Oryctolagus cuniculus: one gene and its partners. The protein of the gene in region 1 interacts with the protein of each later gene in a biochemical or structural test. Links are inferred from orthologs where the notes say so. Each region holds a gene or a part of one and is shown on either strand. Other genes may lie near its edges. The genes, in order: RALBP1, DLG4, DLG1, SYNJ2BP and ras-related protein Ral-A-like.

Evidence for each region.
Region 2: the proteins of RALBP1 (region 1) and DLG4 interact in a biophysical measurement, tested with the Homo sapiens proteins (2 studies listed by IntAct, with this or other methods). The link is inferred for Oryctolagus cuniculus from reciprocal best matches to the Homo sapiens genes RALBP1 and DLG4.
Region 3: the proteins of RALBP1 (region 1) and DLG1 interact in a test that uses a peptide from one of them, tested with the Homo sapiens proteins (2 studies listed by IntAct, with this or other methods). The link is inferred for Oryctolagus cuniculus from reciprocal best matches to the Homo sapiens genes RALBP1 and DLG1.
Region 4: the proteins of RALBP1 (region 1) and SYNJ2BP form a complex in vitro, tested with the Homo sapiens proteins (2 studies listed by BioGRID and IntAct, with this or other methods). The link is inferred for Oryctolagus cuniculus from reciprocal best matches to the Homo sapiens genes RALBP1 and SYNJ2BP.
Region 5: the proteins of RALBP1 (region 1) and ras-related protein Ral-A-like form a complex in vitro, tested with the Homo sapiens proteins (3 studies listed by BioGRID). The link is inferred for Oryctolagus cuniculus from reciprocal best matches to the Homo sapiens genes RALBP1 and RALA.

Annotation. Positions count from the first base shown.
Region 1 is NC_091441.1:66,676,185-66,682,026, forward strand, and holds part of RALBP1 (ralA-binding protein 1), read left to right. Parts: intron 1-1,694; coding exon 1,695-2,044; intron 2,045-4,075; coding exon 4,076-4,237; intron 4,238-5,842. UniProt on the Homo sapiens protein: Multifunctional protein that functions as a downstream effector of RALA and RALB. As a GTPase-activating protein/GAP can inactivate CDC42 and RAC1 by stimulating their GTPase activity.
Region 2 is NC_091448.1:51,806,216-51,812,057, reverse strand, and holds part of DLG4 (disks large homolog 4), read left to right. Parts: intron 1-2,773; coding exon 2,774-3,069; intron 3,070-3,227; coding exon 3,228-3,330; intron 3,331-3,458; coding exon 3,459-3,573; intron 3,574-5,510; coding exon 5,511-5,687; intron 5,688-5,842. UniProt on the Homo sapiens protein: Postsynaptic scaffolding protein that plays a critical role in synaptogenesis and synaptic plasticity by providing a platform for the postsynaptic clustering of crucial synaptic proteins.
Region 3 is NC_091435.1:83,521,985-83,527,826, reverse strand, and holds part of DLG1 (disks large homolog 1), read left to right. Parts: intron 1-723; coding exon 724-825; intron 826-1,806; coding exon 1,807-1,979; intron 1,980-5,821; coding exon 5,822-5,842. UniProt on the Homo sapiens protein: Essential multidomain scaffolding protein required for normal development. Recruits channels, receptors and signaling molecules to discrete plasma membrane domains in polarized cells.
Region 4 is NC_091451.1:16,185,746-16,192,152, forward strand, and holds the start of SYNJ2BP (synaptojanin-2-binding protein), read right to left. Parts: upstream 3,518-6,407; 5' UTR 3,395-3,517; coding exon 3,331-3,394; intron 1-3,330. UniProt on the Homo sapiens protein: Regulates endocytosis of activin type 2 receptor kinases through the Ral/RALBP1-dependent pathway and may be involved in suppression of activin-induced signal transduction.
Region 5 is NC_091443.1:114,066,513-114,073,055, reverse strand, and holds ras-related protein Ral-A-like, read right to left. Parts: upstream 3,716-6,543; 5' UTR 3,578-3,715; coding exon 2,957-3,577; 3' UTR 1,091-2,956; downstream 1-1,090. UniProt on the Homo sapiens protein: Multifunctional GTPase involved in a variety of cellular processes including gene expression, cell migration, cell proliferation, oncogenic transformation and membrane trafficking.

The DNA of each region.
Region 1 (5,842 bases):
TTTACATTAAGATATGTCTTTAAACTCACTCACTCTCTTTGGAGTGTCCAGTTTGTAGAATGCAAACATTTTGATAATTTCAGAGTAACAAGAAACCAAATACACACACTTGTGCAATTTGCTGGGTAGGTGTTGTAGGGGGGAAAGGTAAATATCAACAAAGTGTATTCACGGGGAGGGTACTACAAAAAGTTTGTGGAAATGAAGTTTAAGGATGGTGCAAGTTTTTCATGATCTTTTGGAAGATCTCGCCTATATGAGAGAGGGAATTTTCATCAAGAATTGTTCATCACATTTTACTACATTGCCATAAATGTAAGAAAACAGGGTTATTTTCTAACTTTCTCAAAGATTATGCAACAATAAGATTCATATTGCTATTGCTTTTATGTTTGTCAGTGTGTGCAAGTAACAGATTTATTGTAATACCATTAAGAGATTTTCATGTAGGATAAGAAATGCCAAAACCCAAATGTAAGTATTTTATTTAAGGTGATGTTCACTGTTAGAAACTCTCAGCCTTAATTTCAGGCTAGTCCCAAATAACTGGTCTAAAGTATTAAAAATCAGAAAAAGTTACTTAGTACTCATTTGAGCAGTCACTGCCAGTAAATTATAATGAAGACTATAGTCTTTTTTTTTTTTTTTTTAAAGAATTATTTATTTTTTTGAGAGGCAGAAGTAGAGGGGGAGGGGGAGGTCTTGTCTTCCATCTGGTGGTTCACTCCCCAGATGGCTGCAATGGCCGGAGCTGTGCCTGTTGGGAGCCAGGAGCTTCTTCCGAGTCTCCCACACAGGTGCAGGAGCCCAAGGATTTGGGCCATTACTGCCTTCCCAGGCCATACCAGAGAGCTGGATCAGAAATGGAGCAGCTGGGATTTGAACCATTGTCCATATGGAATGCTGGCACTGCGGATGGCGGCCACAGTGCTGGCCCCAAAGACATAATGTTTGAAAAGTATTCACTTTGTGTTAAGAGTTTCTTACTGTCCAACGAGAAAAGTAAAACAATTTGACTTTGGAAACCAAAACTTCATCTAATTTTTTTTGAAACACAAACTTAAAACTTTTTTTGTTCCAGTTCTGTTCAGATTAACACTGAAAGAATTCTAAATTTAAAGTAAAAATTAGATGGAGATTATTGGATAATTCTGAGTTTGTTTAGGCAGCTAACTCACCTTTCACATTTACAGTATAATTTTTACGTATAAAAAAATTTACCCACAAATTTGGGAATGTTTTCATGTGCACTGAGTTTCATCTTGTGTTGTCAGTCATGTGGCTAGTTAGAAAAAACAGTTGTCTGCCTAAATAGCGCAAGACTTGTGCCTAGATTGTAGTTTAATTTTTCCCTAATTTTTTACCTAACTACCTTTTAAGTTAAGATTTTTTTTCCTTCCTGAATCCTTTGATATATTTGCTTAAAATATGTCTGTGATTGCTGTGAATATTTTTTCGGCTATCATGTGGCTTTTGGTTAAATTTACCCTCAAAGTGTGGTCTTTTACAGGGCTATATTTGCAGAGGAATTGTCTGAGCCTCATGCAGATAAAAAATTCACAGTGAGAGGTTTGTTATTGGTCAGGCAGGTGCTCAGATCTTTCCAGCTGGGGTGGGTGTAGTGGCTGAGAAAGCTGTGTATTTGATTTGCTTTTCTTGGTATTCTCTCTCCTCAATTATTTGAATGTTTCAAGGAATTAAATCAAAGGTAGATGAGCTAAAAGCAGCCTACGACCGAGAGGAGTCTCCAAACTTGGAAGAATATGAGCCCAATACTGTCGCCAGTTTGCTGAAGCAGTATTTACGAGACCTTCCAGAGAATCTGCTTACCAAAGAGCTAATGCCCCGATTTGAAGAGGCCTGTGGGAGGACCAGTGAGGGTGAGAAAGTGCAGGAGTTCCAGCGCCTGCTCAAGGAGCTGCCGGAGTGTAACCACCTTCTGATTTCCTGGCTCATCGTGCACATGGACCATGTCATTGCCAAGGAGCTGGAGACCAAGATGAACATACAGAACATCTCCATAGTGCTCAGCCCAACTGTCCAGGTACGAGTTCCTCTCTCCACTGCCCCCGCTGGGCCTGGGGAGGTGGAGACATTTGCTGTTGCTGAGTCGCCATGAGAACCTGGCAGCCAGAGCGGGTACATATGGTGTAGCTTGATTACAGCTCTTTTTTTTCTTCACGCCATCAGTGGTGTGGACAGGGAAGGTCATGAGCCCCTCTATGAGATGAGGACCGTGCCGTTCTTCCCAGGGGGTTAGCACCCAGTTCCCAGTGACTGGTCACGGTGGAGGGGGAGCCAGTGGTTCCTGCAGTTACAGAGCTCATTTACATAATTCAGAGGGTTCCGTCATTTCATCAGAGCATTACTGCTTCATGAATACAAACATGGGTCAAACTCAGGCACAGAGGGGCCTGTCACTAATTTGTTTCGTCAAGGATTTGAGCCGAGGGTTTCATTTCTGAAAGAGGAGTCTACAGAGACATAGGATAGGCTCTTCACCTGAGGAAGTGCCCTCTGGGAAACTGTCCTTTTACAACGTAAGCACCTGACCGTCCTTTAGTGCAGCTCTGTTGCTGCTGGCATACGGTGTGTATTTTCCTTTGATTAGACTTGCTGATACTTTACCCAGGCCGAGAAAAAGACCCGGGTCGTAGGCTTTGTCTTAATCCACTTTTGACCATAGCACATTTTCTCAGGATCTGCCATTGCAAATGAAATCCTCATTAACTTCTTGATCAAATAAGTGAATGTTGGACTCCTTGGTGCCCAACTCACTGTTGTACAAGTGTGGTTTTTTTACTGATTGGTGTATTTTGGATACCAAATGTTCCTCAAATTTCAATTTGATCATTTGTGTTAGGGTTTTAGGATCTGTTAAATGTCACATTGTTACATAATATTACTATAATATTATGACAGTGTCATAGAAGGGTCAAACTGTTGTAAATTATATTAATTTTCCAGCAGTCTCCTGTCCTGGTCTAGCATGTGATCATCATGTTAGGTTGCTGCTGTGGTGTGCCCAGGAGGCCTTCCTGTCTGGAGGGAGGGCTCAGCCTCAACAGCTGTGCACCTGCAATGCTCTCACTTTCCTCCTCCACCTCAGTAGATGCACTCGTGATTATCAAAAGAACTCAAAATAGGGGTGGGTGTTCGGCCTAGTGGTTACGCTGCTGTTTGGGACACCCTAATCTCACATTATAGTGCCAGCTCTGTTCCCTTTTGCAGCTTCCTGCTAGTGCATCTCTGGGAAGCAGCAGTACTTGAGTACCTGAAACCCACATGGGAGACCTCAGTTGAGTTCTCAGCCTCTGGTCTCAGCCCTGGCTGGGCCATTGTGGGCATTTGTGGAGGGAACCAGCAGAGAAGAGCACTCTATCTGTCTCTCTTTTGCCGCTAAAAAAAAAAAAAATTTTTTTTTTAGAAAGGTCTCAAACTGAAAACTAAAAACATAAGGTTCTTTAAAAAAATCAGTTAATATTGTAGTGATAGAAAACAACAAATAGCTTTCAGTGTCTGCTTCATTTTCTTGGCTTTTTAAAAATTCCTTCAATTCCTTTGGTGCTTGAGTACATGATTTAACATGGATTTTGCCTTTTTCTCCTTGAATTGGCCATTAATTAGCGAAGCCTTCCTTGTCACTCCTGAGGAGGACTTCTTCTTTTTTGTTTTTCTTTTTATTTGAAAGAGTGACAGTGACAGTGGTAGGGAGACAGAGAGTGAGTGTGTTTTCATCTGCTGGTTCACTCCCTGAATGCCTGCAGACAGCCAGAGCTGAGCCAGGCCCAAACCAGGAGCCATCCCAGTCTCCCACGCGGTTGCAGAAACCAAATATTTGGGCCATCATCTGCTGCTTCCCAGGTGCATCAGTAGGAAATTGGATCAGAAAGGGAGGTAGGACTTGATCCCATGTGTTCTGCCATGGGATGTGGGCATCCCAAGTGGTGCCTAACCCACTGCACCACAACAGCCCATCTTGAAGATAATTGTCATTCACTGTGTGACAGACACAAATGGAAGTAAAATGACAATTTTAATTGTTTTTCTACAAGTCTTTTTGTTTTCCTCCTAGATCAGCAATCGTGTCCTGTATGTGCTTTTCACACATGTGCAAGAGCTCTTTGGAAATGTGGTGCTGAAGCAAGTGACGAAACCTCTGCGGTGGTCTAACATGGCCACGATGCCCACACTGCCGGAGACCCAGGCGGGCATCAAAGAGGAGATCAGGAGACAGGTTTGCACCCTTGCCTCGCCCCTTGCCCTCCAGCCTGCCTTTATGCCGGCTGCTGAGGGGGAGGGTCAGCTCTTGTTTGTTCATCTATTTACTTATTATCAGGCATGTCTTCATGGCACACTGAAGTCAGAAATTTCTATCTTGCACTGTTTCATGTCAAATAAGTCAGGATATCATGGTGGAAAGAGCACAGGTTTTGGATACAAAAGGCTGGGCTTTAAATTCCTGCTCTGCTCCTAGTTAGCTAACTTGCTTCGTCTCTTATGGTCTTGGTGTTCTCACTTGACTGATGTGAAGCATATTGAATATGAGATAATGCATGAAAAGGGCTCAGCACACTAGTACACAGCACCAAAGTGTTTGCTTATCTGGACGAGGTTGCTCTCATTTAGTCATGTCTTAAAGATAAGAATACGGAAAGTCAGGGGAGGTGAGAAAACTTTAGCACATGATTACTAAGCTGTAGAACCAAGACTTGAGTCTAAATCTTAGACTTTTCCACTTGTGACTTAGCTGTAAGAAACTGTGCTGTGAGACAGGCACCGCTTGGGTATTCTCTGTCAGAGTGCCTGGGATCCGGTCCTACCTCCACTTCCAACCCAGCTTCCTACTAGTGCACCTGGGAGGCAGTCAATGATGACCCAAGTACTTGGATTCCTGCTACCCACATAGGAGGCTCAGATGGAGTTCCTGGCTCCTTGCTTTTGACACTACCCTGCCATGGCTGTTGTGGGCATTTGAGGAGTAAACCAGTGTATGGAAGTTCTCTGTCTCTCCCCCTCTCTCTTGTCACTCTGCCTTTCAAATAGGTAATTTTAAAAAAAATTTTTTTTAAGTTATTATTTATTTTTTTTTGAGTGATAGTGTTAACAGACAGAGAGAGGGAGAAACAGAGAGAAAAGTCCTGCATCCCCTGGTTTGCTCCCTAAATAAATGGCCACAAAGGCTGGAGCTGGGCAGATCCAAAGGCAGGAGCCGGAGCTTCTTCGCAGTCTCCCACATGGGTGCAAGGGCCCAAGCACTTGGGCCATCTTCTACTGCTTTCCCAGGCCATAGCAGGAAGCTGAATTGGAAGAGGAGCAGCCAGGACACGAACCCAGAACCCATATGGGATGCTGGCACCACAGGCAGAGGCTTAGCCTACTGTGCTACAGTGCTGACCCCTAAATAAATAATCTTTAAAAAACACAGGAAAAAAATGCCATGCTGTGTGTGTGTGTGTGTGTGTGTGTGAGAGAGAGAGAGAGAGAGAGAGAGAAATTGAATAAGAAATTCAAGACTAAATAAGAAATGTGTTTTTATTTACTTGCATGCATATCATCAAATCTCTGCTTGCCTCTCTTCCCTTATCTGCCCTGAACTTCCATTCCTTACTAGTTGATGATGTAGGAGTGAGGGTGTGAATTAGCTCCTACTGAATCAATGTACATTAATGACTGAGAACCTAATTCTCAGGCAAAACAAGTAAGAATGATTTTTTCAGTTATATCCTTGAGAAGATCATTAGTGCCATTATTTCCGTCCTTTAACAATAAGTGAAAATAGTTGAATCTACATCTTTAGAAATCACGATTTTTTAAAGTAAGACATTGGATACTGCTCATT
Region 2 (5,842 bases), on another chromosome or scaffold:
ATGGGGCTCCTGGCTCCTGGCTTCGGCCTGGCCCAACCCTGACTATTGCAGCCATTTGAGGAATGAACCAAGATGGAAGATCTTTCTCTCTCTGCCTCTGCCTCTCCTTCTAACTCTGCCTTTCAAATACATAAATCAATCTTTAAAAAACAAAACAAAAAACAAGAATCAGTAACTTCCCAGCCATGAAAAGATGATGTGATGGGTAAGAAGATCTCATTTGCTATAGAAAACAATTCTACAAAATTCTTATAAATACAGACTTGACAAGAAATATAAGATTTCTATGAAAAAAAAATGACGAAACTTTACTGAGGCATATAAAACAATGTTTCTGGATGGAATGACTTAATATGCTACAGCTCTCAAACCTCTCCAGATTAATCTATATATTTTATGCAAATCCAAATCAGGATTTAAATGTTGTTTTTCCCCCTGAGAATTTAGCAGGTTGATTTTAAAGTTCAACTGGAAAAATATGTGTGGGAGAATAACGAAGACATTTTTGGAAAGGAGTAATGAAGTACGCCTGCCCCTACTGAATATGAAATCAGACTGTGCAATCATATTTAAGTCACATGGCAGCTCTTCTTTTTTTTCTTTTGGATTTTATTTATTTTCATTTTCACTTGAGAGAGAGAGAGAGAGAGAGAGAGAGAGCGATCTTCCATCCACCAGCCCGCACAGGACTGGAATGCAGTCCGTCTCCCGCGTGGGTGGCAGGGACACAGGTGCCTGGGTCATCACCTGTTGCCCCTCCGGATGCACATTCAGCAGGAAGCTGGATCGAAGTGGGACACCCAGAACCTGAACCAGGCACGCTGAGATAGGATGTGGGTGCCCCAAGTAACAGCTTAACTGCGTGCCAAACACCTGCCCTGGGTGGGCCCTGTTTCTAAATACCAAAACCTCCCTGAAGAAGCCTGGCCTTCTTGGGGAAAGGGGAGCCAGTTTAAAATCCTGGGCAAGGGCCGGCGCCGCGGCTCACTAGGCTAATCCTCCGCCTAGCGGCGCCGGCACACCGGGTTCTAGTCCCGGTCGGGCACCAGATTCTGTCCCGGTTGCCCCTCTTCCAGGCCAGCTCTCTGCTGTGGCCAGGGAGTGCAGTGGAGGATGGCCCAGGTGCTTGGGCCCTGCACCCCATGGGAGACCAGGAAAAGCACCTGGCTCCTGGCTCCTGCCATCGGATCAGCGCGGTGTGCCGGCCGCAGCGCGCCAGCCGCGGCGGCCATTGGAGGGTGAACCAACGGCAAAGGAAGACCTTTCTGTCTGTCTCTCTCTCACACTATCCACTCTGCCTGTCAAAAAAAAAAAAAAAAAAAAAAAAAAAAAATCCTGGGCAAGGCTGGCGCTGTGGCTCACTAGGCTAATCCTCCTCCTGTGGTGCTGGCACTCCAGGTTCTAGTCCCGGTTAGGGCGCCGGGTTCTAGTCCCGGTTGCTCCTTTTCCAGTCCAGCTCTCTGCTGTGGCCCGGGAAGGCAGTGGAGGATGGCCCTGGTGCTTGGGCCCTGCACCTGCATGGGAGACCAGGAGAAGCACCTGGCTCCTGGCTTCAGATCGGCGCAGCGCACCGGCCGTGGTGACCATTTGGGGAGTGTGGGGTGAACCAACAGAAGGAAGACCTTTCTCTCTGTCTCTCTCTCTCACTGTCTAACTCTGCCTATCAAAAAAAAAAAAAAAAAAAAAAAAAAAAAAAAAAAAAAAAGTCCTGGGCAAGAAATATCTAAGATTCACTTGACCTCCATTCTAGAAAGCAAAGGTGGTATCCAGGACTACTAGAGCATGTCAAAGACACAGGAGCCCAACTTAAGGGATTCTTCCTGGCTGTTGAATCAGAACTCCTTGAGTTAAAATTTATGGGGTCGCAATAGTGATTTAAAATATTGGGGTACCTTTGGAGGCTATAAAGGGACCCATTCATTCTGAAAATAAAGAGGGACTGTCAGACCTTTGTCTTCCCATCTCAGAGTGGTCTACGTAAGTCAGTTCTTTATAGAATTCCTGCTAACAAATGCTTCCTTGTTCCCCCACCCAAAGTAGAGTATCACCATTTTGCAAACCCTGATGAATATCTAAACCAGGCAGTGATCATCAACAGCCTTGAAAATTTAAGTGAAAGACTGGCAGGCATTTGATAGTGCATAGACCAGGTTGTCAGCCACCAACCCTGCTCGTCACTCCAACAGAGATGCAGTAGTGGTGGGGCCGTAGGGAGCGCTCAGCGCTGCCTGTGACGGATGCTGTATTTAGAAATTGAACTGGAACCTGGTTGCACCCCCAGAACCAACTGCCAGCTTACAGGAGGTGGAGGGCAGAGATGCAGGATGAAGCAGACCTTGAGGATGCAGGCAGAGGTTTCTCTGTTGGATTCCCCTGGTAGGATGTTGGACGTTCTTGCAGACAGATAGCTTGTTCAATCAGTGGTCAAGAGGGAGAGGAATTCTGTGGCTGAAGGGATGTGAGAGAGACAGCAACCAGAAGAAAACCCCCAAAGCATGGATTCCCATTAGCCTGTAGCTTCATCCCTGGCCTGCTGTGGACAAAAAGCCTTTAAATCCCTTGTTTCCCACAACCACCCCGACACCACCTGTAAGTTGCTGACCCCTGGCAGGGCCGTGTCTGACGTCCCCACGGGGGTATCCCTGGCAGGGCAGCTTCCCTTTCACCTGAGTCTGGCTCTCTGGGTTCCTGCCCAGGGGGGAAGGTGGGGCAGTGGGTGCCGTGTCCCTTCCATCCACTTCCACCTTGTCTTTCCTCCCGTGTCCGCCCTCAGCGTACTCCCAGCACCTGGACAACGAGATTAGTCACAGCAGCTACCTGGGCACCGACTACCCCACAGCCATGACCCCCACTTCCCCTCGGCGCTACTCGCCTGTGGCCAAGGACCTGCTGGGGGAGGAGGACATTCCCCGGGAGCCGAGGCGAATCGTGATCCACCGGGGCTCCACCGGCCTGGGCTTCAACATTGTGGGCGGCGAGGACGGTGAAGGCATCTTCATCTCCTTCATCCTGGCCGGGGGCCCTGCGGACCTCAGTGGGGAGCTGCGGAAGGGGGACCAGATCCTGTCGGTGAGGGGAAGCCTGCCCCGCCCCTCACCGAGCTCCTTGGGGCGGGGTGTGTGTGTGTGTGTGTGTGTGTATGTGGCTGGGCTGATCCCTACTCCATGTGGACCTGGGAAGTGCCCCCGCCCTGTCCCCAGCCACACAGCCTCTGCTCCTGCCTGCAGGTCAACGGGGTGGACCTCCGTAACGCCAGCCACGAGCAGGCCGCCATTGCCCTGAAGAATGCGGGCCAGACAGTCACGATCATCGCTCAGTATAAACCAGAAGGTACCCGGCGCGGGGCTCCCCGCCGAGGGCATCCTCAGAACTCTCCCCTGGGCTGATGGCTGTCTGGGGGCGAGGGGAGTGGCCGCAGGAGGAGGGCAGAGCTCTGGAACTGTCTGGTCCTCCCTCAGAGTACAGCCGCTTCGAGGCCAAGATCCATGACCTTCGAGAGCAGCTCATGAACAGCAGCCTGGGCTCAGGGACGGCCTCCCTGCGGAGCAACCCCAAGAGGGGGTTCTACATCAGGTCAGAGGCTCGCTGGGCCGGGCTCCGCAGGCTCCCAGGGCCGGATTCCTTTGCTCTGTGCCTGTTCCCTGTTCCCCAGCCACTCTCCCTTAGCCCTGCCTTGTTCCCCTTTCCCAACCCCGGGGCGGGCGCCCAACGTGGTGATCAAGGAGGGCTTGGCTACAGAGGTTTACATTGTCACTCCAGAAGGCAGAGTTACAGAGAGAGAGGGAGAGAGAGAGAGCCATCTTCCATCCACTGGTTCACGCCCCAAATGGCCACAACAGCCAGGGCTGGGCCGGGCTGAAGCCAGGAGCCAGGAACTTCACCTGGGTCTCCCACATGGGTATCGGAACCCAAGCACTTGGGCCATCTTTCACTGCTTTCCCAGGTCCATTAGCAAGGACCTGGATCAGGAGAGGAGCAGCCGGGACTGGAACCGGCATCCATATGGGATGCCTGGGCTGCAGACAGTGGCTTAACCTACTAGGCCACAGCACCAGCCCCAGGTTTACATTGTGAAACACAGTTGACCTCTGGGCATCCACGGAGTCAGCCCACTGTGAATCAGGAATACTTGAAAAAACCACGGTGCTGGACTTGTCCAGACTTTCATCCTGTCTTCCTTCCCCAGACGATACAATGTACGCGTGAGGTGTTTACAGTGTATTCAGTATTATAAATGATCTAGAGATGACTTAAAGACCAGAGGAGGATTGCGTAGGTTACATGCAAATAGCATTTTATGTAAGGGACTTGAACATCCAGGGATTCTGTGTCTGCGGGGCCTCCTGGAACTGACACCCTGCAGGTTGCCAGGCAGACTGTGCTCGCAGGGCGGGGAACAGGCTCTGTCTCAGGTCTCTGAGGTGCCTGCTCTCCTTGCCGGGGGACTCCCGGGCTGCCCACCATTTAACACCTCACAGCTTAATGCCTGGCATAGCAGCGCCCCCTGGCACAGCTCGAGTGTTGCCCGAGCCTCCGTCTCGGGAGAGATGGGCCACAGCGCTCTCGGCTGTCTCCTGTCTCCTCGCTGGTGCCTTGCTCTCTCCTAGGGCCCTTCCTGCTGTTGACTCCCCCTTCCCCCATGGACTCTGCAGCCCGGGTGCCCGCCAGCCCCTCTCCTCCTCTCTGATCCTGTCCACTTGCACAGCCTGGGCCGCCCCGAGTCTTGCAGGCGTCTCTCAGAGCTGTCTGCCCTGGCCTGCCCTCTTCCTGGAGGTGCCGACCTGCAGCTCTGGCCATGTGCTTTCTGGGATGTCCCATAGGCAACTCATGCTCAGCATGGCCCACACCGAGCTCGTGGTCTTTCTCCTGGGTAGTGAGGTCTCCGTCTTGCCCAAGCAGTGTTACTCCCTCTTGCTCAGTGGCATCGCCGTCCACCCAGACACCAGGCTGAGTGAGACCTGGGTCCTCTCGGCCCTCCCCTCCCTGCTGGGATCTACCCCAGGGTCTTTCAGTTCTGACTTCCGGTGGGTGCTGAACGATCCTGGGACTCTGTCCTTTCCCGTCTCATTCCGGAACTTTAGTCTGCGTCTTTGCTCTCCCAGGGAGGGTTGCTGTCCCTTCTCTTGTGAAGCCAGGGGTGTAAGGACGGAGTGGGAGGCATTTCCTGCTTTTAGGGTAACCAGTTTGCGTGTAGGGGACCTCTTAGTTCCTATGGATCTCAGCAGATTGTGGTGACTTGGCGACACACCTGTGTGCTTCAGCCTGCTTCCCGGAGAGGTGGAGGTTAGCCCTCACTCCGGAAGTTGTCCGCAGCGTAGACTGAGGACAGTTAACAGTCCTGGTGACACCAGAGCTTTGGGTGCTCACAGTTGCTGGGTTCCCATGGCAGTGCCACCACTGGCCCCTCTCCCAGGACCTATACCCCGGGGCCCAGGGTGGCTGGTGCCTCCTTTCTTGGAGTCCCCCCCCACCCCGCCCCAGGCTCTGACCAGTAGCCACTTGGCCTCCAGGGCCCTGTTTGATTACGACAAGACCAAGGACTGCGGCTTCCTGAGCCAGGCCCTGAGCTTCCGCTTTGGGGACGTGCTGCATGTCATCGACGCCAGCGACGAGGAGTGGTGGCAGGCGCGACGGGTCCACTCTGACAGTGAGACCGACGACATCGGCTTCATCCCCAGCAAACGGCGGTGAGGCTCCTGGGGTCTGCAGCCTTCCTGCCCCGGGCACGGACATCCCCCCTCCACGGTACCCCCTGGAGGGGGGACAGCCAACAGGGAACCGGTTTGCCCTCTGACCTCTTGGGGACTGTGGCTTGTGTGAGTGAGCCTGTGGTGCCCAGGGA
Region 3 (5,842 bases), on another chromosome or scaffold:
CCCAGTTTGCTTTTTAATACTTTGCTTCCTTAGAATTTCTACTTCAAAAATTGTGTGTACAACACTGTACTTTATATTCTCATTTGTAATGAGATAATTCATAGAAACATCTGCTAAAATGTGCTAAATTTAATTTCTTGGAGTCAAGGTTAAACTGTTAGTGAAAAGTTTATTAAATAGCTAGTTAAACATCTTTGGTTGGGCCGGCGCCGTGGCTCACTTGGCTAATCCTCTGCCTGCGGCACCGGTACCCAGGATTCTAGTCCCGGTTGGGGCTCCAGATTCTGTCCTGGTTGCACCTCTTCCAGTCCAGCTCTCTGCTGTGGCCCGGGAGTGCAGTGGAGGATGGCCCAAGTCCTTGGGCCCTGCACCCGCAGGGGAGACCAGGAGGAGGCAGCTGGCTCCTGGCTTCAGATCAGCACAGCGTGCCGGCCACAGTGCACCGGCCGTAGCAGCCATTTGGGGGGGTGAACCAACGAAAAGGAAGACCTTTCTCTCTGTCTCTGTCCTCTCTCTCTCTCTCACTGTCTGACTCTGCCTGTCCAAAAAAAAAAAAAAAAAAAAAAAAAAAAAAAACTTTGTTTGATGATACAGTGGTGTGGAGACAGAAAAAAAAAATAAATTCTTCAAAACAATTAAGAATGTTTTTGTTCTCTGATGAAATGAAATACCTTAATTTTCATTGAATGTTTATTCCTTTTAACATGCAATTTATCTTTGTAGTTAATTATACTCGACCAGTGATCATATTGGGACCTATGAAAGACAGGATAAATGATGACTTGATCTCAGAATTTCCTGACAAATTTGGATCCTGTGTTCCTCGTGAGTAACCCAATGAAAAACTCTTATAATTATTGTTTTTATTTTCCTATCACTTTGTGTGACAAAGTAAATATAATTTTTTTTTTTTTGTTTTGTTTTGTTTTTTTGACAGGCAGAGTGGACAGTGAGAGAGAGAGACAGAGAGAAAGGTCTTCCTTTGCCGTTGGTTCACCCTCCAATGGCCGCCGCGGCTGGCGCGCTGCGGCCGGCGCACCGCGCTGATCCGATGGCAGGAGCCAGGAGCCAGGTGCTTTTCCTGGTCTCCCATGGGGTGCAGGGCCCAAGCACCTGGGCCATCCTCCACTGCACTCCCTGGCCACAGCAGAGGGCTGGCCTGGAAGAGGGGCAACCAGGACAGAATCCGGCGCCCCGACCGGGACTAGAACCCGGTGTGCCGGCGCCGCTAGGCGGAGGATTAGCCTAGTGAGCCGCGGCGCCGGCCTGTAAATATAATTTTTAACGGTTTATACCTGGGCCGGCGCCGTGGCTCAATAGGCTAATCCTCCGCCTTGCAGCGCCGGCACACCGGGTTCTAGTCCCAGTTGGGGTGCCGGATTCTGTCCCGGTTGCCCCTCTTCCAGGCCAGCTCTCTGCTGTGGCCAGGGAGTGCAGTGGAGGATGGCCCAAGTCCTTGGGCCCTGCACCCGCATGGGAGACCAGGAAAAGCGCCTGGCTCCTGCCTTCGGATCAGCGCAGTGTGCCGGCCACAGCGCGCTGGCCACGGTGGCCACTGGAAGGTGAACACACGACAAAAGGAAGACCTTTCTCTCTGTCTCTCTCTCTCACTGTCCACTCTGCCTGTCAAAAAAAAAATGGTTTATACCTAGTTATTTTATCAGTTACTGCTTCATCCTCCATATTATTGTACTTTTCTAGATTTAAATTAAACTCTGGAACTTTATAAAACAATTATTTCAGTAGAAAATGAGTTTATTATGTTTTTTAATATTAAACACTTCCCTGAGTTCTTTTCTGTTAAAGATACAACTAGACCAAAACGAGATTATGAGGTAGACGGAAGAGATTATCATTTTGTGACTTCAAGAGAACAGATGGAAAAAGATATCCAGGAACATAAATTCATTGAAGCTGGCCAGTATAACAACCACCTGTATGGAACAAGTGTTCAGTCTGTGCGAGAAGTAGCAGAAAAGGTAAGCATCACATGAATGCAGAATATGCTGTTCATCAGATATGCCTTTGACAATATGAAAGAATTACAGAAACTTCTAGTTCTTACTTAAAAGGATACAAGATGGATGATAGATTGATTACTTTTAATTCATTGAACTAAGTAATTTTAGGTGGTTTAGAAAAAGACATACAAGTTTACATACAAGATAAAATAGACCAAAAAAAAAAAAAATGGGAGTAGAAAGAATAGCACAAATCTAAGAGGGGCAGTTGTTATTTTAAGACCTTTTGCTAGAGACAGACCTGTCTTTGGTCCTAGCTTTCCAGCATTTCATGTAATTGAGGAACTAAGATCTGCAGTATCCAACAATAAAAATTATTGAAATGTTCAAGATAAATGTAGTTGCTGCTGGTATTGAGATTAGACAAAAGTTTCTCCTCTGAGTCTTCATTTAAAAGACAATATAGGCCGGCGCCGAGGCTCACTAGGCTAATCCTCCGCCTAGCGGCGCCGGCACACCGGGTTCTAGTCCCGGTCGGGGCACCAGATTCTGTCCCGGTTGCCCCTCTTCCAGGCCAGCTCTCTGCTGTGGCCAGGGAGTACAGTGGAGGATGGCCCAAGTGCTTGGGCCCTGCACCCCATGGGAGACCAGGAAAAGCACCTGGCTCCTGGCTCCTGCCATCGGATCAGCGCGGTGCGCCAGCCGCGGCGGCCATTGGAGGGTGAACCAACGGCAAAAGGAAGACCTTTCTCTCTGTCTCTCTCTCTCACTGTCCACTCTGCCTGTCAAAAAAAAAAAAAAAAAAAAAAAAAGACAATATAGCCAGCGCTGCAGCTCACTTGGCTAATCCTCCACCTGCAGCACCGGCACACCGGGTTCTAGTCCCGGTCAGGGCGCCAGATTCTGTCCTGGTTGCCCCTCTTCCAGGCCAGCTCTCTGTTGTGGCCCGGGAAGGCAGTGGAGGATGGCACAAGTCTTTGGGCCTTGCACCTGCATGGGAGACCAGGAAGAAGCACATGGCTCCTGGCTTTGGATTGGTGCAGTGCGCTGGCCGTAGTGGCCATTTGGGGGGTGAACCAACAGAAGGAAGACCTTTCTCTCTCTGTCTCTCTCCTTCACTAACTCTGCCTGTTAAAAACAAACAAACAAACAAACAAACAAAAAAACACCATATATATATGGTGTTCGATGGTGTGGCATAGCAGATAAAGCCACTGCCTGCAACGCCAGCATCCTATTTAGGTGCTAGTTCAAGTCCTGGCTGCTCCACTGCCAATCCAGCTCCTTGCTGCTGCGCCTGGGAAAGAAATGGAAGATGGCCCAAGTGCTTGGGCCCCTGTACCCACATGGAAGACCCGGAAGAAGCTCCTGGCTTGGATTGGCGCAGCTTCTGCTGTTGCCGCCATTTAGGGAGTGAACCAGTAGATGGAAGTTCTCTCTCTCTCGTGTGTGTATATATATATATATATGTGTGTGTGTGTGTGTGTGTGTGTATACATATATATATGTGTGTGTATGTGTATATACACATATATGTGTGTGTGTGTATAATCTGACTTTCAAATAAATACATGTTTTTTAAAAATTACAAAGACAGTATTGGACAGGTGTTGTGGGACAGTAGGTTATGCCACTAGTTGGGGATGCCCACATTCCATACCAGAGTGCCCAGGATCAAGTTCCACCTCCACTTCCAATCCAGCTTCCTGCTGTTGTGCCTGGGAGGCAACAATGATGACTCAAGTACTTGAGTCTCTGGCATTCATGTAGGAAACCCAGATGAAGCTCTGGGCTCCTGGTTTCAACCTGTTGCACCTTGGCTGTTTTGGGCATTTGGAGAGTGAACCAGCATGTGGAAAATCTCTCTCATAGCTCTGCCTGTCAAATAAATAAAAACGAATAAACATTAAAAAAAAGAATCTGACTTGAACAACAATATTAACATTTAAAAAAAAAAACAGGAATTCACAAACAACAGCAATAGACTTTCTGAAAGCATCTTTTGTAGTCATCTGGTGAAATGGTGACACTGGGTTAAAAGTTTTATAGTGAAGCTAAATCAATGTCATAGTGCTGTTTCTTAAATCTTTGGGCCTAGAAAATAAACATTGTATACCTTTAAAACTTAGAGTTTAAGTCTCAATTATGAAATAGCTGTAACAAAACATAAAGCAGTAATAAGTTTCCCATATATAAATGCTACTTTTCTAAAAGAAGTTTGTTCTAATTTAACATTTTTAGAAAAAGTGCATATGTCCCAGAAGTGAAGACAAGGACTTGAGAAAATGGAAATTTTTAGGTAGTTGGGATATAAATGAACATAACTTCCTTTGACAACAGTTGGGCAATACCTAATAAGTGATTCAGAAATTCTACTTATTCATGTCTAGGTATACATATATCCACAGTAGCACCTTATAATGTGAAAAATTGGAATCAACAGAAGGGAATGGATAGTCAACCCTCATTTATTCATGCAGTGGGATATAACAGCCAGAGTGCATAAATTTGTATATCTAGTAGTTAGGTGTATCCACATTGCTAAGTCTCAAAATTATAATAGTGAATTATAAAGTTTGCTTATGTAAATGTTAGAAAGTATAAAACAGCCAATAATAATATATGGATGCTTGTTTGTAAACAAAAACATGCATGAGAATAATACAGCTACTATCTCTTGGTTTCTTTTTAGAAGGGAAGAGAAGGAAATTAAAACCAGCTTTGGAGAATGTTTTATTTCTTGAAAAATAAAATTTTTAATTTCAAAACTCTTAGCCTAGATAAAAGATAGATATTATCCAGACTTCAGATTAGTAATAGGAAAGTAAACAGCAAATCCAAGTAAACTGTTTCATGTGCAAACCTTGTAGAGAGCAAAAGCAATCTCAAGAAAGAAAAAAAAAGAATGGAAGAGATAAGAGGACAGCAAACATAAGTGGTCTAGTCGGTGAATTTAAGCATGTCAGAAAAGTTATTTAAAGTCAGAATTGAGATTTCCAGATGCCAATTTATGATAAAAGTTTTGCCAGTCCACATAAAATGAGAAGGAGAATAATGGTAGTGAGGTTTTACAAATTTAAACTTACTCAGTTTAGGATATTTACCCATTTTTCTAGGATCTTTTACCTTCTGCTGATCATATATTTTATGAAATTATGGTTATGATGAGAGTAGTTTGGGGTCTTTTTTTAAATGCTCTGTCTTACAAAATTAAAGATCAGCACCCTATATTGGTTGCCATTGAGAGAATACTAATCTTTGAACACCAGGAGTGTGAGAACTGTTTATAACTTTCTGAAATCTTACTTCAGGCTGGCGCCGCGGCTCACTAGGCTAATCCTCCGCCTTGTGGCGCTGGCACACCTGGTTCTAGTCCCTGTCGGGGCACCGGATTCTGTCCCGGTTCCCCCTCTTCCAGGCCAGCTCTCTGCTCTGGCCCGGGAGTGCAGTGGAGGATGGCCCAAGTGCTTGGGCCCTGCACCCCATGGGAGACCAGGAGAAGCACCTGGCTCCTGGCTTCGGATCAGCGCAGTGCGCCGGCCGCAGTGCACCAGCCATGGCGGCCATTGGAGGGTGAACCAACGGCAAAAGGAAGACCTTTCTCTCTGTCTCTCTCTCTCACTGTCCACTCTGCCTGTCCAAAAAAAAAAAAAAAAAAAAAATTCTTACTTCAATAGTGGAAAACTATTTACCCATAAATTTTATATTTTACTTCCCATCTAAAATTTGCTAACAGGATTGACAGATTTGCTTACAGTCAGTGAGTAAGCATACTCTAGTTATTGTGCCTGTTGGAAATGTACCTTTGATGTAAGTGAAGAGAAATGGTTCACTTGGTTTACTGCTTTACTCAATTTTAGGGCAAACACTGTATCCTCGAT
Region 4 (6,407 bases), on another chromosome or scaffold:
GGAAAAAGCTCCTGGCTCCTGGCTTCAGATCGGCGCAGCTCCGGCTGTTGCAGCCATCTGGGGAGTGAACAAGCGGATGGAAGACCTCTCTCTCTGCCTCTACCTCTCTCTATAACTCTGTCTTTCAAATAAATAAAATAAATCTTTAAAAAAAAAAAGGAAGAAAACAGAGATTCTCTTCCCTCTTTACCGATTTTAGCAACTTGCTGAATCCCATTGTGTTTTTAGGCCTGAAAATAGGAATCTTAATCTTGGTACCCTTGTGTAGGAGGGTTACCTTTATGGACCATCTCCACCTGACAAAATTAATGAAAGCTAGATTAGAGACAAGCTTCTTAGAGCTACCTACTCTTTCCAACATCAAGAACTCTCAATGTGATAAAGGAAAAGACAGGAGCTTTGGAGAATACAATAAAACTGGATTCCATAAAAGAAAAAGAGAGAGGCAGTTCCATAAATGATGAAATGGAAATGTTCAACCCTTGAAGGCACTTGATATTGTTATCATTGTCTTTGCCAATTCTTTATCCAATTGGTTCAGAACAGCAAGAATCAGACTAACACACAGATTGGGCAAAAGAATCATTAACTTGGAAAAAAGAGGAGCTCCTAGCCCAAGTCTCTCCTTCCACAGTTGAGAAAGTAGTTACAGATGAGATGGCAAGCTACATGCCAAATTTCCTTGTGCCATCTCAGACACTCATTTCATTGTTCTAATTTTCCTTGTAGTAAGGAGGATTAGATGGAACAGATTAATTTGCCTTGCAAAATGGGCATAAACAGTGGAAATATCCCAGATCACTGGCACAAAAGCAGAGCAGTACACACTTTCTTGTAGTTACCTTCATTAAATGATGAGGTCTTAGGGTAGGAAGCTGTATAAAGACAAATAACCATGCTGCTCACTGTAAAAAATGTATACGTAGTTAGAGACTTTTCATATTCTTCCTATAGAAAGAAAGATCCCGATGGAATTACAAAAATTACATAGAGGACTCTAACGATGATTATTGACTTCTTCGTGGTTTATCTTCATGACAACACTATGAAGAAAAGCTGAATTAGATCTGAGACCAAGAGTATCACATACCAGTATACCAATTCTAGAAATAAATAGGAACTTGAAACCTTTCCTTGCTAATAGAACAAACCAAATTGCAAATAACTGTTTTTATCCATATTCAATCCTAAAGTTGTGGTTTGACCCTCCTCATAAGTTCCCTGGCTCTGTGACTAAGACATGAAAATGTTTAGGAAAATTCAAGAAACCACCCTGTGGATAAACTCACATACAATACAAAAACTAATCCACTTTTGGTTGCAATATATTAGCTAGATAGAATTTCTTTTAATTAATCCCATGAAGTTTGCCCTAACTCCAATGCTTCTGAAAAATACAAACACTAGGAACTTTATATCTGCAAGACAAACAGACTCAGAAGTTGTGGTGAATGGTGAACTAAATATTAGGCAACACTGCTTTGCAAATGCCAAAAATGATTTAGTGATATTATACTGAATTTAAATTATTTAGTGCCCAGAATAAGATTCTGCTCAGCTCTAGTTGGGAGATTCTAGAAATGATGCAGATGTCACTGCCAAGTACATTAAATTCTTAAGCAAGAATCAAGAACCCAAACTCAAATATCACAAAAAGTAATGTTACAACAAGATATTTAGGCTAAAGGAAGACCAGGCAAAGTAGAAGCAAGGGAAAATAAGTGCAGGGCAATCAGAAAAGGAACTAGCACAGTTTTAATTAGCCTTATATGAAAAACAATTACCAGTGGCAGAAAGGTACAGAAAAACAGATTCTGGTTGAAAACTAGCTTTCCATATTAGCTTTAAAGTCGGTAAGTATTGAGTAAGAGAAATAAAAAAATTTTATAAAATAGGAAGAAAGAATCCAAGGGGCTTAGTTACTCTGCTTAATTATATTTCCATAAGACCAGCTTCCAATTTTATATAACAAAAAGAAAGACACAAAATATAGGTAGTTCTGCAAGTCATATTTTATAAAGGATAATCTGTCAGTGGTGATTAAGCTACTGCAAAATTCCAGATGAGAAAAGTGATTAACTATTATAGATAGTGGCACTGGGAACAGAAAAAAGGATTTTAGAAACATTTTTAGATGGAGCACATGGGGCTTATGATTTCTACAGGGTCTTTTTCAATAACATTTACCATGCAAATCTAGCCATTCACCCAATAAAAATAACAGTAGTAGCAAATACATACTGCTTACTGTGTGTCAGACAATGCTCTAATTATTTTACAAATATATTTAGATGTTTTATCAATTAATTAATTTCATTCTCAAAAACTATATATTGTATTCTATAATCACCTCCAATTAACAGATGAGCAACTAAGGCACCAATGTCACTCAGTGGAAAAAAATACACCAAAGAACCAGTAAGCGGTTAGATAACAAGCTTTGTGCCTAGATAGTACAATTCCATGGTTAAAGCTCTTAATAAACTCAACAACTGCTAAAAAAAAAAAAGCCAACCAAGTCCAAGGCAGGCAGTGAGTAGCAATGTCAACAGCTCAGTCTAGGGAAGGAATATCTGGGGGAGGGGGGAGTACAGAAGGTGTAAGGATCTGACTGTATCAGAATCATGTAAGTTGTTAAAAACAAATTCGTATTGAATCCAAATCTCTAGAAATGAGAACTAGAAATCAGCATTCTAATTTTATACTAGCATAAAAAAGCAAAAACAAAAACAAAGCCTGGATAGTTTTGTAGCAGAACCAAGTTTGGAAACTCCTGTAACAGATCTCTAAAGCGTCTTCCTGCTTTAACAGTCTAGTTGACACTATATACTAATTTCTCAGAAATGAGGAAGGAATCCTGGCACCAGAACATCTGTGCATTTATTTAGAGTTCACATTGTTTTTTTTTGTTTTTTTAAGAATCGTTTTATTTAATAAATACAAATTCCATAGGTACAGCTTTTTGAATATAGCGGTCACATAGTTTACGTTCCCAATTTGGCTAAACGATCCTCCAAGGAACAAGGAGAGACCAGGTAATAGAAGGAAGAGTGTGTCCACGGAATGCTGGCTAAACAGCGGGTTTTATTCTAGGCTTCTCTAGCACCATGAGCAAAAAGAAATCTTTCCAGATTAGAAATACGTGTTGTAATCCGACCCGTCATCTAGCCAATGATGGATATCAATATATTCTTTCAACATTCCTAACCTCCTACGTTGGGGCCTGCCTACTCTGAGGCCAGGTGAATCCGGCGCAACAAAAAGAGGGTCTGCTCTGCAAAGGCACACCTCAAGTCCCCTACTCCCAAAGACAGCCCGCTCCGCACATACCTGAGGGTCCTCTAGTAAGATTGATTTCTTCCTCGGTGATTAAGTAATCCACTCTTCCGTTCATGTTTTACCGCTCCTATTCGGTTCAGCTGGGGCTCTGCCCAGGTGAAGGTGAATCAATCTCCGCGCTGCGGTCTAAGAACAGCACTTCCGGTTCGCGCAGCCTCCGGGCCGGAAGAGGAAGTGCGCCGCGCTCAGAGCGCTCGGAATGCTGGGAGTCGTGGTTCTCACAGCCGATCGGTTGTGTTCTCTCGTTGAGTGTTCCGAGAAAACTGTGAGGTCAGCAAGCCGCAAGTTATTGACCGGCGAAAGTACTTGGGAAAAGTAAGGTTGGGGTGGAGGGAGGCTAGTTAAGGTAGTGGACGTAAAGAAATTGATATTGCTGAGGAAAAATCTAAAAGGAATCTTGGCATCTCAAAATTTCCACAAATATAGAAAAGAAAATTTTGTTATTCTGTGAGCATCAAACTAGACTGGGATGGACGTTACAGGCAATCCATTGATGAGATTGCCAAAATGAAAAATCTCGTATAAGCCAAGTAGGTACAAACCATAACATGCTTGTCCTTACATAGAGGACTTGACAACACCATTTGTTATCCACTCTCTGATGGTTCACCTTTGGGGTGGCCTTCTGTGTTAGTTAATACAGGTTAGCAAAGGAAAAGTAATACTTTGCTCTCTGTATGACAAGCTGTTGCGTAAAGATTAGTGTAAACCACTTGGGTTAACTTCCATAGTAAGAGGAGATAGGAGCACTGTTTTCCCTGATATTAACATTGGGAAGAGATGGTTCCCAGGACCTTAAGTAAAAGATTCCTGGATTGTTGCTGACAAAAGCCTTATTTAATTTTAAGAAATTTAAGGGGCTGGTGCTGTGTCCTGATGGGTAAAGTGGCCGCCTGCAGTGTCCTCATTCTATATGGGCATTACTTCAAGTTCCAGCTCTCTGGTGTGGCCTGGGAAAGCAGTACCCAGTGGTACTGCACCTGTGTGGGAGACCTGGAAGAAGCTACTGGCTCCAGGCTTTGGATTGGCCCAGCTCTGGCTGTTGTGGACATTTGGGCAGTGAACCAGCGGATGGAAGACCTCTCACTCTCTCTGTGTAACTCTGCCTTTCAAATAAATAAATCTTTTATTTTTTAAAAGGAAGATATATATATATATACATAAACATTCAAATTTAAGGAATAGAGAGTGGGGCAAAGTCTACAAATTGATGCTACTGGGAAAAATAGGCTAAGGATGGAAGATTAGAGCAGTGATACACACTTAATTCTATATGTATTAGGCTAAGATGGAAGTGTACTTCATTCACAGTAAAGAACTAGAGATGGATGGTCAAAGGCTAATAGAGGAGCTCCTCAGTCACCAAGGAATCAGATTCCTTTCATCTTTCTATAACCCCTTCAGTTCTCATCCTTAGAGTGTGGCCTTTACTTCATGGCCCAAGATGGTTACGATGGTTTTTGGAACTTCAGCCTTCATATTCACATTTCAAGAAGGGAATGAAATGGCAAAGAGAACCTATTGGAAGTTTCATATATTTCTTGTATCTCCTTGAATAGAAGCCTATTACATGATTATATTTAACTATGAGAGAGACATAGAATATGCCATGTTTTAGTGGGATGGAAATGTGCTAACTAAAAAAAAATTAGGGTTGTTATTATTAACTAAAAATGGGAGAATGGATATTGGGGACCATTGGCCACTGGCAGAAGTGACACTAAATTAGTCTTTTTGTTTATGGTTCTGTGCCCTTGAGGTGTGCAGAAAGTATAGATCTTGATGACAAGGTCAGTCCACCATTACAAGATTAGTGGAAATCTTGCCTCACATTTACTCATACCTTACTGTATATTTACACACTTCATGTTATACATTCACCTTGTCTTTCTAATCTCTTATCTGCCACCTCCCATTATTTCACTATTCTGTCAGCTTCTGTGATGGCTAATTTATGGATATGATTGCATTTATGACCTATCTACCTCTCCTTTAATGTAGAATTTGTTCCAGCTTGCTGCCCTGTAACTGGTCCCTTTGGTTTCAAACTCCTGCATATTTTATGTCTTCTATGCTTTCTTAGATGATTACATCTAATCAGATTATATTAATTTGCTAGGGTTACCATAACAAATACCATAGACTGAGTGGCTTAAATAGCAGAAATTTATTTTCTCACATTTCTGGAGGCCAGAAGTGCAATGTCAAGGTACAGGAAGTACTTTTCTCCAAGGCTTCTTTCCTTGACTTGCAGATTATCATATTTTCTTGTCTTCACATGGTTCTTCCTTTGTGCACACATTTCCATGTCCAAATTTCTTCCCAATGATTTTAATAAAAATATTTTATTTATTTGAGAGGCAGAGTTATAGACAGAGGGAGAAACACAGAAAGATCTTCCATCTGCTAGTTAACTCCACAAATGGTCATGATGGCCAGAGCTGGGCTGGTTGCAAGCCAGGAGCAAATAAACAAACTGAATGAAAATGGAACATACTGTAGTGTACAGAAGCTCAAATTAACCATGTGCTATGCATTTAGAAAATGTTTTTCAATATTTTATCATCTCTTTACAGTTATAACAATTCACTTCAACAATCACAGAATCCTTTTCTTCCAGTGCTACAAACCGTGTTACAAATGAAAGCTGGTACTGATGCTTATCAAAATTGATGCTTTATATAAAACCACTTTATATGTTAACTTGTTCCCAAAAACCTCTTACTCTTTTTTTCTTGGCCTGATATCACTCATTTTGGATTAAAGTATACTATAAAGACATTTCTAACTTAATCGTTTCTTTAAAGAATTTATTTCCAAATATGGTTGAATTGTGAGATACTGGGGATTAAGATGTCAACATATGAATGTTTGAGGCACAGAATTTTGCCCATGACCCAGGTTATAGAGAAGATTTTGGAAGATGGCATTGAATGTCTCTGTTCTGGCTTATTAAATGTTGGGTTTATAGTCTAACCTTTGTAGAAGTATTAATAGATTTTTTAATTTCCATGTTCTTGAGGAAGGTTGCACTGCTGCTTAATGACAGCAAATATCAGCAAGGAGTT
Region 5 (6,543 bases), on another chromosome or scaffold:
TGGTTCACCCTCCAATGGCCGCTGCAGCCAACATGCTGCAGCTGGCACACCGTGCTGATCTGAAGCCAGGAGCCAGGTGCTTCTCCTGTTCTCCCATGCAGGTGCAGGGTCCAGGCACTTGGGCCATCCTCCACTGCCCTCCTGTGCCACAGCAGAGAGCTAGACTGGAAGAGGAGCAACCAGGACAGAATCCGGCACTCTGACTAGAACCGGGACTAGAACCCGGTGTGCTGGCGCCAAGAGCAGACGATTAGCCTATTGAGCTGTGGCACTGGCCGAAATTAGTTCTTTAAATGTCTGTTTGAATTCAGCAGTGATGCTGTCTGGCCTTTTAGGTTTCTTTGTTGGGAGAGTATTACTGATTCAATCTCTATTTTGGTTATTGGTGTGTTTACGTTTTCTATAAGTTCATGACTTAATTTTGGTAGAGTGTATCTTTCTAGGAATCTATCCATTTCTTCTAGGTTTTCTAGTTGTTGGCATACAGCTCTTTGCAATAATTTCTGATGATTCTTATTTCTGTGGTATCCATTACTATATTTCCTTTTTCATCTCTGATTTTATTGATTTGACTTTTCCTTTTTTTTTGTTCAGTTGCACCAATGGTATATCAATTTTGGTTTTTTTTTTAAATAGCTTTCCTTTTCATGGATTTTTGTAATTTTTGTATCAGTTTTATTTCTTCTCTAATTTTAATTACTTCTTTCTTCCTACTAGTTTTGGGTTTGGTTTGTTGTTGATATTCTATATCCTTGAGTTGCATTGATAGCTCATTTATTTAGTACCTTTCCAGTTTTTTCATGTAGACATTGATTGCTATGAACTTCCTTCTTAACATACTTTTGCTGTATCTCATATCTCATAGGTTTCAATATAATGTATTGCCATCTTCATTTGTTTCCAGAAATTTTTTGATTTCTGTTTGATTTCTTTTATGACCCACTATTCATTCTGGAGCATGCTGTTCAGTCCTTATGTCTAATTATGTTCTAGAGATAGTTCGTTTCTAGCTTCATTCCATTGTGGTTTGAGAAGGTGCATGGAATGATTTCAATTATTTTGAATTTGCTGAGACTTGCTTTGTGACCTATTTTTTTTTTAAAAGGAAGTTTATTGGTCTTTAAATGGCTCAAATTGCAAATAAACGAATTGGGGAGTGGCATCAGCCTAAGACATGTGATGCATCTTTGTCAGTTGGCTTCATAGCACCTCAGTACCCAGGAGAGGAAAGGTCTCAAAGCAAAGTCACAATGTTAGTGGTTAGGACCCCTGGTTAAATAAGACTGCAATGCGTGAGTACACATAGAGACTGCTGGGCCCGCTGGCCAGTATTACATTGGTAACTTTAATTCTGCACATGGCATAACCTATGAAAAATATGAAATGGAAGATGTACATCTCACACCTTTGAGGAACAAATATTTAACATGACAAGCTGGATATAGTATCTAAAGAGCTGAGTTCCTTAAAAGTCTAGTTTTGTTAGCTTACATATACAACCTGTTACCTGGAATGCCTGAACACATCCTTGACTTGTTCAAATTAGGGCTGACTAAAAAGAAAAAAGAAAAAAAAATCTGTTAAAATCAACTGTCCTAATTCCATCCTGAGCAGGAAAAGAAAAGTGACAGTGGTCTGTGTATTTCTCATCAAAATTATGTATCCAAATAGCATGCCGGAACTCTTCCAGTGGCAACATCACACAATAGTGACACCGCCTGACACACTGTGGTCTCTGTGTGCCACACACGTTTTCTGCACTATGCCTGGGTTTGATTGCTTGATGTTATTTTTAGGAAGATATAGCTACACAGTGCTTAATTAGGAACATAAACAGACTACAGATACTCTCAATAATTTCTATAAAGCCAAACTGTAAACCTCAGGAATACAAGTTTAGAAATAAACAGGTGGCAAGCATGCTTATTCTCCCCAAGTGTTCTAATGCCAAATGCCTTAGTGCTGCTAACGTTTGTCCTATGCCCTAATTCCAGGAGATTAAAAAGTAACACTTATATGCTCAACACTCGTAGAAAGTGATTTCTAGGGACCAGCATCTTAGGAAAAAAAAAAAGAGGCTTCACTCACACACAAGGGGTACTGAATCTTCAAAGTCTCAAATTATCTTACAAGTAGATGCTGGCCCTTCATTTCATACCACCTTACAATTTATTAAAGCAGTCAAGAAGCTCTGGAACCTTATTTAAGAACCAGAGTATGGCACACAGTTTTCATCTGGACAGACTCCGAGTGGACAGTTATTTCTCAAGAACCTTCTATACAAAAGCTGTACTCCATACCAGGCATACAGTGTCTCACAGAATGATGAAACTGGGTATTTTTCGGTTTCTAAATTAAGGCATGTTCCAAAATGTCCGTGTACAAGTTTACACCACTTTTCTAAGTTAATCACCAGTTAATTAATGCAGACTCACAGATGAATTACTCTCAGTTTAACTATATGCAACAACCATGCCAACAACTTTTTCTTCTATATTTTGCATAACAATGGTTAAAAAAAGTGGTACAGTTTAACTATCATGTTCACAATTGTCATTTTTCAAGGCAGTAGACCAAGACATTTTAAAATCATATAAAATTTAAGCTTTATAATAAACACCAGAGGAAGTAGCCTTTCCTCCCATTCCCCACCCCACATCTCACCTCTTTATTTAACAGTTCCAGAAAGACTGCCTGAGAGACACACACGCTACATTCAGGACCGTGATAAATGTAGGCAGTTATGAAATAAGCTGAACTTTGCTTCTTGGAGAAGCCACATTAATTTCTTTTTAAAGTGAATCTGACTTTCAGTGCAGTTCCAATTCATGCTTTTAGTGATACATAACAATTTCCAAAATGTTAAAGTAATTTCAGTCAATTGGGCCTTCAATGGCAATGCTTATAAATTATATTTATTAGTATGGTCAAGGTAAGAAAGGAGTTTGGGCTTTGATTATAAAATGCAGCATCTTTCTCTGATTCTCTTGGCTAAACTTTTCCTCTTCTTTTTCCCATTCTTTTCTTTGCTGTCTTCCATCTTTCTGGCTCGAATTTCCCTCATTAAATCAAAAACTACCTTGTCAACATTAGCCCGCGTTTTAGCAGATGTTTCCACGTAGTTAACATTCCACTGGTCCGCTCGGTTCTTTGCCTCTTCTACGGAAACCTGCCTTTTATCTTCTAAATCTGATTTGTTACCAACCAGCAGAAATGGAACATTCTCATCTTCTTTTACTCTTAGGATCTGCTCCCTGAAGTCGGCTGTGGCTGCAAAGGATTCCATTTCCGTAATAGAGAAGACACAGAGGAAACCCTCCCCGCTCCGGAAGTAGTTGTCTCTGATGGCAGCATAGTCCTCCTGCCCTGCTGTATCTAAGATGTCGATCTGTACTTCCTCCCCATCCAGCACTACTTTCTTGCGATAGCTGTCTGCTTTGGTGGGCTCATAGTCCTCCACAAACTCATCATACATGAACTGCAGAGTCAGAGCAGACTTGCCCACGCCACCACTCCCCACCATGATGACTTTGTGTAAGGCCAAAGAATTCTGACCCTTGGGCTTATTTGCAGCCATCTTGTGTTGCAGAGTTTCCACCAAAGGACTAAGAAGAATCTGCACCTCGAGCCGGTCCGCAGCCCCGCGGGCTTCTGAAGCCGTGGCCGCGCTGGCTCCGGCCGGAGGGGGCTCGGCCCTTGTCTCTTTGTGACCTATTTTGTCTGATATTAAAATCACAACACCAGCTCATTTTGGGTTTTTGTTAGCATAGACTATCTTTTTCATCCTTTTACTTTCATCCTTTTACTTTACTTATATTTGTTGATGAAGTGTGTTTCTTATAAGTAACAGATAGATGGGTCTTGATTTTCAATCCATTCAGTCAGTCTGTATCTTTTAACTGGAGAATTGAGGCCATTTACATTCCAGGTGAGTATTGATAAGTAATGACCTGGCCCTCCACTTTTCCATAAATATTCATATCATTTACTTTGGATTTATTTTGTATTTCTATTGGGGTTTTCTGCTTTCTCATTCTTTCATAATGATGGCTATCTTTCTTTGTTTTTGTGTATGGCACATCCTTAAGCATCTTCTGTAAGGCTAGACGAGTTTCGATGAATTCTTTCAATTTCTGTTTGTTATGGAAGGTCTTTATTTCACTTTTATTCATAAATGCAAGCTTTGTGGGGTACAGTATTCTGGGTTGGCAGGTTTTTTTTCTTTTAAGACTTGGACTATATCTCAGTATTCCCTTCTGGCCTGTAGGGTTCCTGATGAGAAGTCAGCTGTGAGTCTAATTAGCGATACTCTGAAAGTGATTTGTCACTTTTCCCTTGCCCAGTTTAGAATTTTTTCATTATGTTTTGCTGTAGAAAGTTTGACTACAATGTGTATTGGTGAATATCTTTTCTAGTCATGTATGTTAGGAGTTCTATATACTTCCTCTGCTTGAACATTTCTATCTTTCTCCAAATTGGGGAAATTTTCTGTAAATATTTAATTGGTTTTCAATTCCTTTTTCTCTTTCCTCTCCTTCAGGAACTCCTAAGACTGGTATGTTGGGTCATTTGATAGTATCCCATAGATTTCCAACACTGTTTTCTTTCTTTTCTTTCTTTTTTTTTTCTTTGACAGGCAGAGTTAGACAGTGAGAGAGAGAGAGAGAGAGAGAGAGAGAAAGGTCTTCCTTCCATTGGTTCACCCCCCAAATGGCCACTACAGCTGGCGCTGCACTGATCCAAAGCCAGAAGCCAGGTGCTTCCTCCTGGTCTCCCATGCAGGTGCAGGGCCCAAGCACTTGGGCCAACCTCCACTGCCCTCCCGTGCCACAGCAGACAGCTAGACTGGAAGAGGAGTATCCGGGACTAGGACCCAGTGTGCCGGCACCACAGGCAGAGGATTAGCCTAGTGAGCATTGGCGCTGGCCTCCAGCATTGCTTTCTAGTTTCTTCTTCTTCTTCTTTTTTTTTTTTTTTTGTCTGTAAGATTTTCAAAGATTCATCTTCTAATTCAAATATTCTTTCTTCTGCCTCTTCAAGTCTGCTGTAAAGACTTTCCATTGCAGTTTTTATGTGATCCATTTTCTTTCATTTCTAAAATTTCATTTTGATTTCTCTTTATATTCTCAGTTTCTTGGGAGAAGTTTTCATTCATTTCTTGTATGGTTTTCTTTAGCTCATAGATTTGCTTCTGATTTTTTTGAGTAATTCTATGATTAATTTTCTAAATTACTCTTCTATCATTTCCTCAATCTTCTCATCTTAATATTCTAATATTTAAATGTTGTTATGTTCCTCTGGGGGTCATGGTGACTTCCTTATTCTTGTTTCTTAAATTTCAGCTCCTATTTTCTGGCATTTGTGGAGTTGATTTTTAATTTTTTCTTGTGTTGGTTTTTATCTTTGGGGTTATGCTTCTGTGACTTCATGGAATGTCTGCCCTTTCAGTGACTACCAGGAGGCATGTGGTGGGTGTGGCCCAGAGGCTTGGGTTAATGATCTAGGGTGGGGCTAGTTTCAGGGGTAACACCAACATTGGGCATGGTAGAACTCCAAAGCCAGCTCTTTCCTACACCTTTTTGTGTAGCTATAAAGGCTCTAATGTCTTAGCATATAGGGCTTTCACAGATGCCAAGATTATAGGGTGCTGTTGGTGCAGGTTCTCCTCTGTCTCTCATAGTTTCCAGGCCACCTTCCTGCCAAGCTCTGAGGCAGCAAGGGCTGTGGGCCATTCCCTCCATTGGTAGCTCTGGATCACACATGCACACTAGGTTCCCCAGTTTAAAGCCTGCCTGATGCTGCTAGCAGCTCTGTGTCCAGTTGTCCCATCTCAGTGAACTGTTACGTGCATGCTTGTGGTCTTCTGAGTTGTAGCACTGGTTTAAAAGTATGCCTACTCCCTCTATTGGTAGGGTCATGAGTTTTGTATTAGAGAGATTGGTTTGAATCAGCTGTCCCCTCTACTTCCACTAGGACCTCAGGTGACTGCCAGCAACCGCTAGCTCCCCAGGCTCCAGTCTGGACCCACTGCATGCTCTCTCTGGCTCTATGCCCATGGATTGGTGTAGATAAATCTGCCCTCACTGTCTCAATAGTGCTGCCAGCTCAGGCTGTCTGTGGCTTCTATTCTCTGGGTGTGTGTTAACACTCATCACACAATTTCAAGCTATTTCCCCTCCTGTTGTGGGGCTTCCCAGGTGGTTTTCTCTTCTCTTCTTTTCCAAGAGTGTACCTCCTATCCTATTCTCTGCATAGCCCTATATCCTAGCACTGCATAGCAGGCTGCTCTCTAGCCCTCAATATTTTTCTTTCAAACTTAATTCTTAGGTGACTTTTTCCTTGTGACATCAACGTGGTGAAAATTATTGAATTCTCTTTGCAACTATTTCATGCCCCCAAATTCCCAAAGCCATCTTGACCCAATCTTTCTCAGTTCTCAGAGGATATGTTGTTTTATCTTTTCTGGAATTCTAGGGGACTATAAATTAAACTTTCACTTTACTTTCAATCCTCAAAGCTATAAATACAAATATCTTTCCCTCA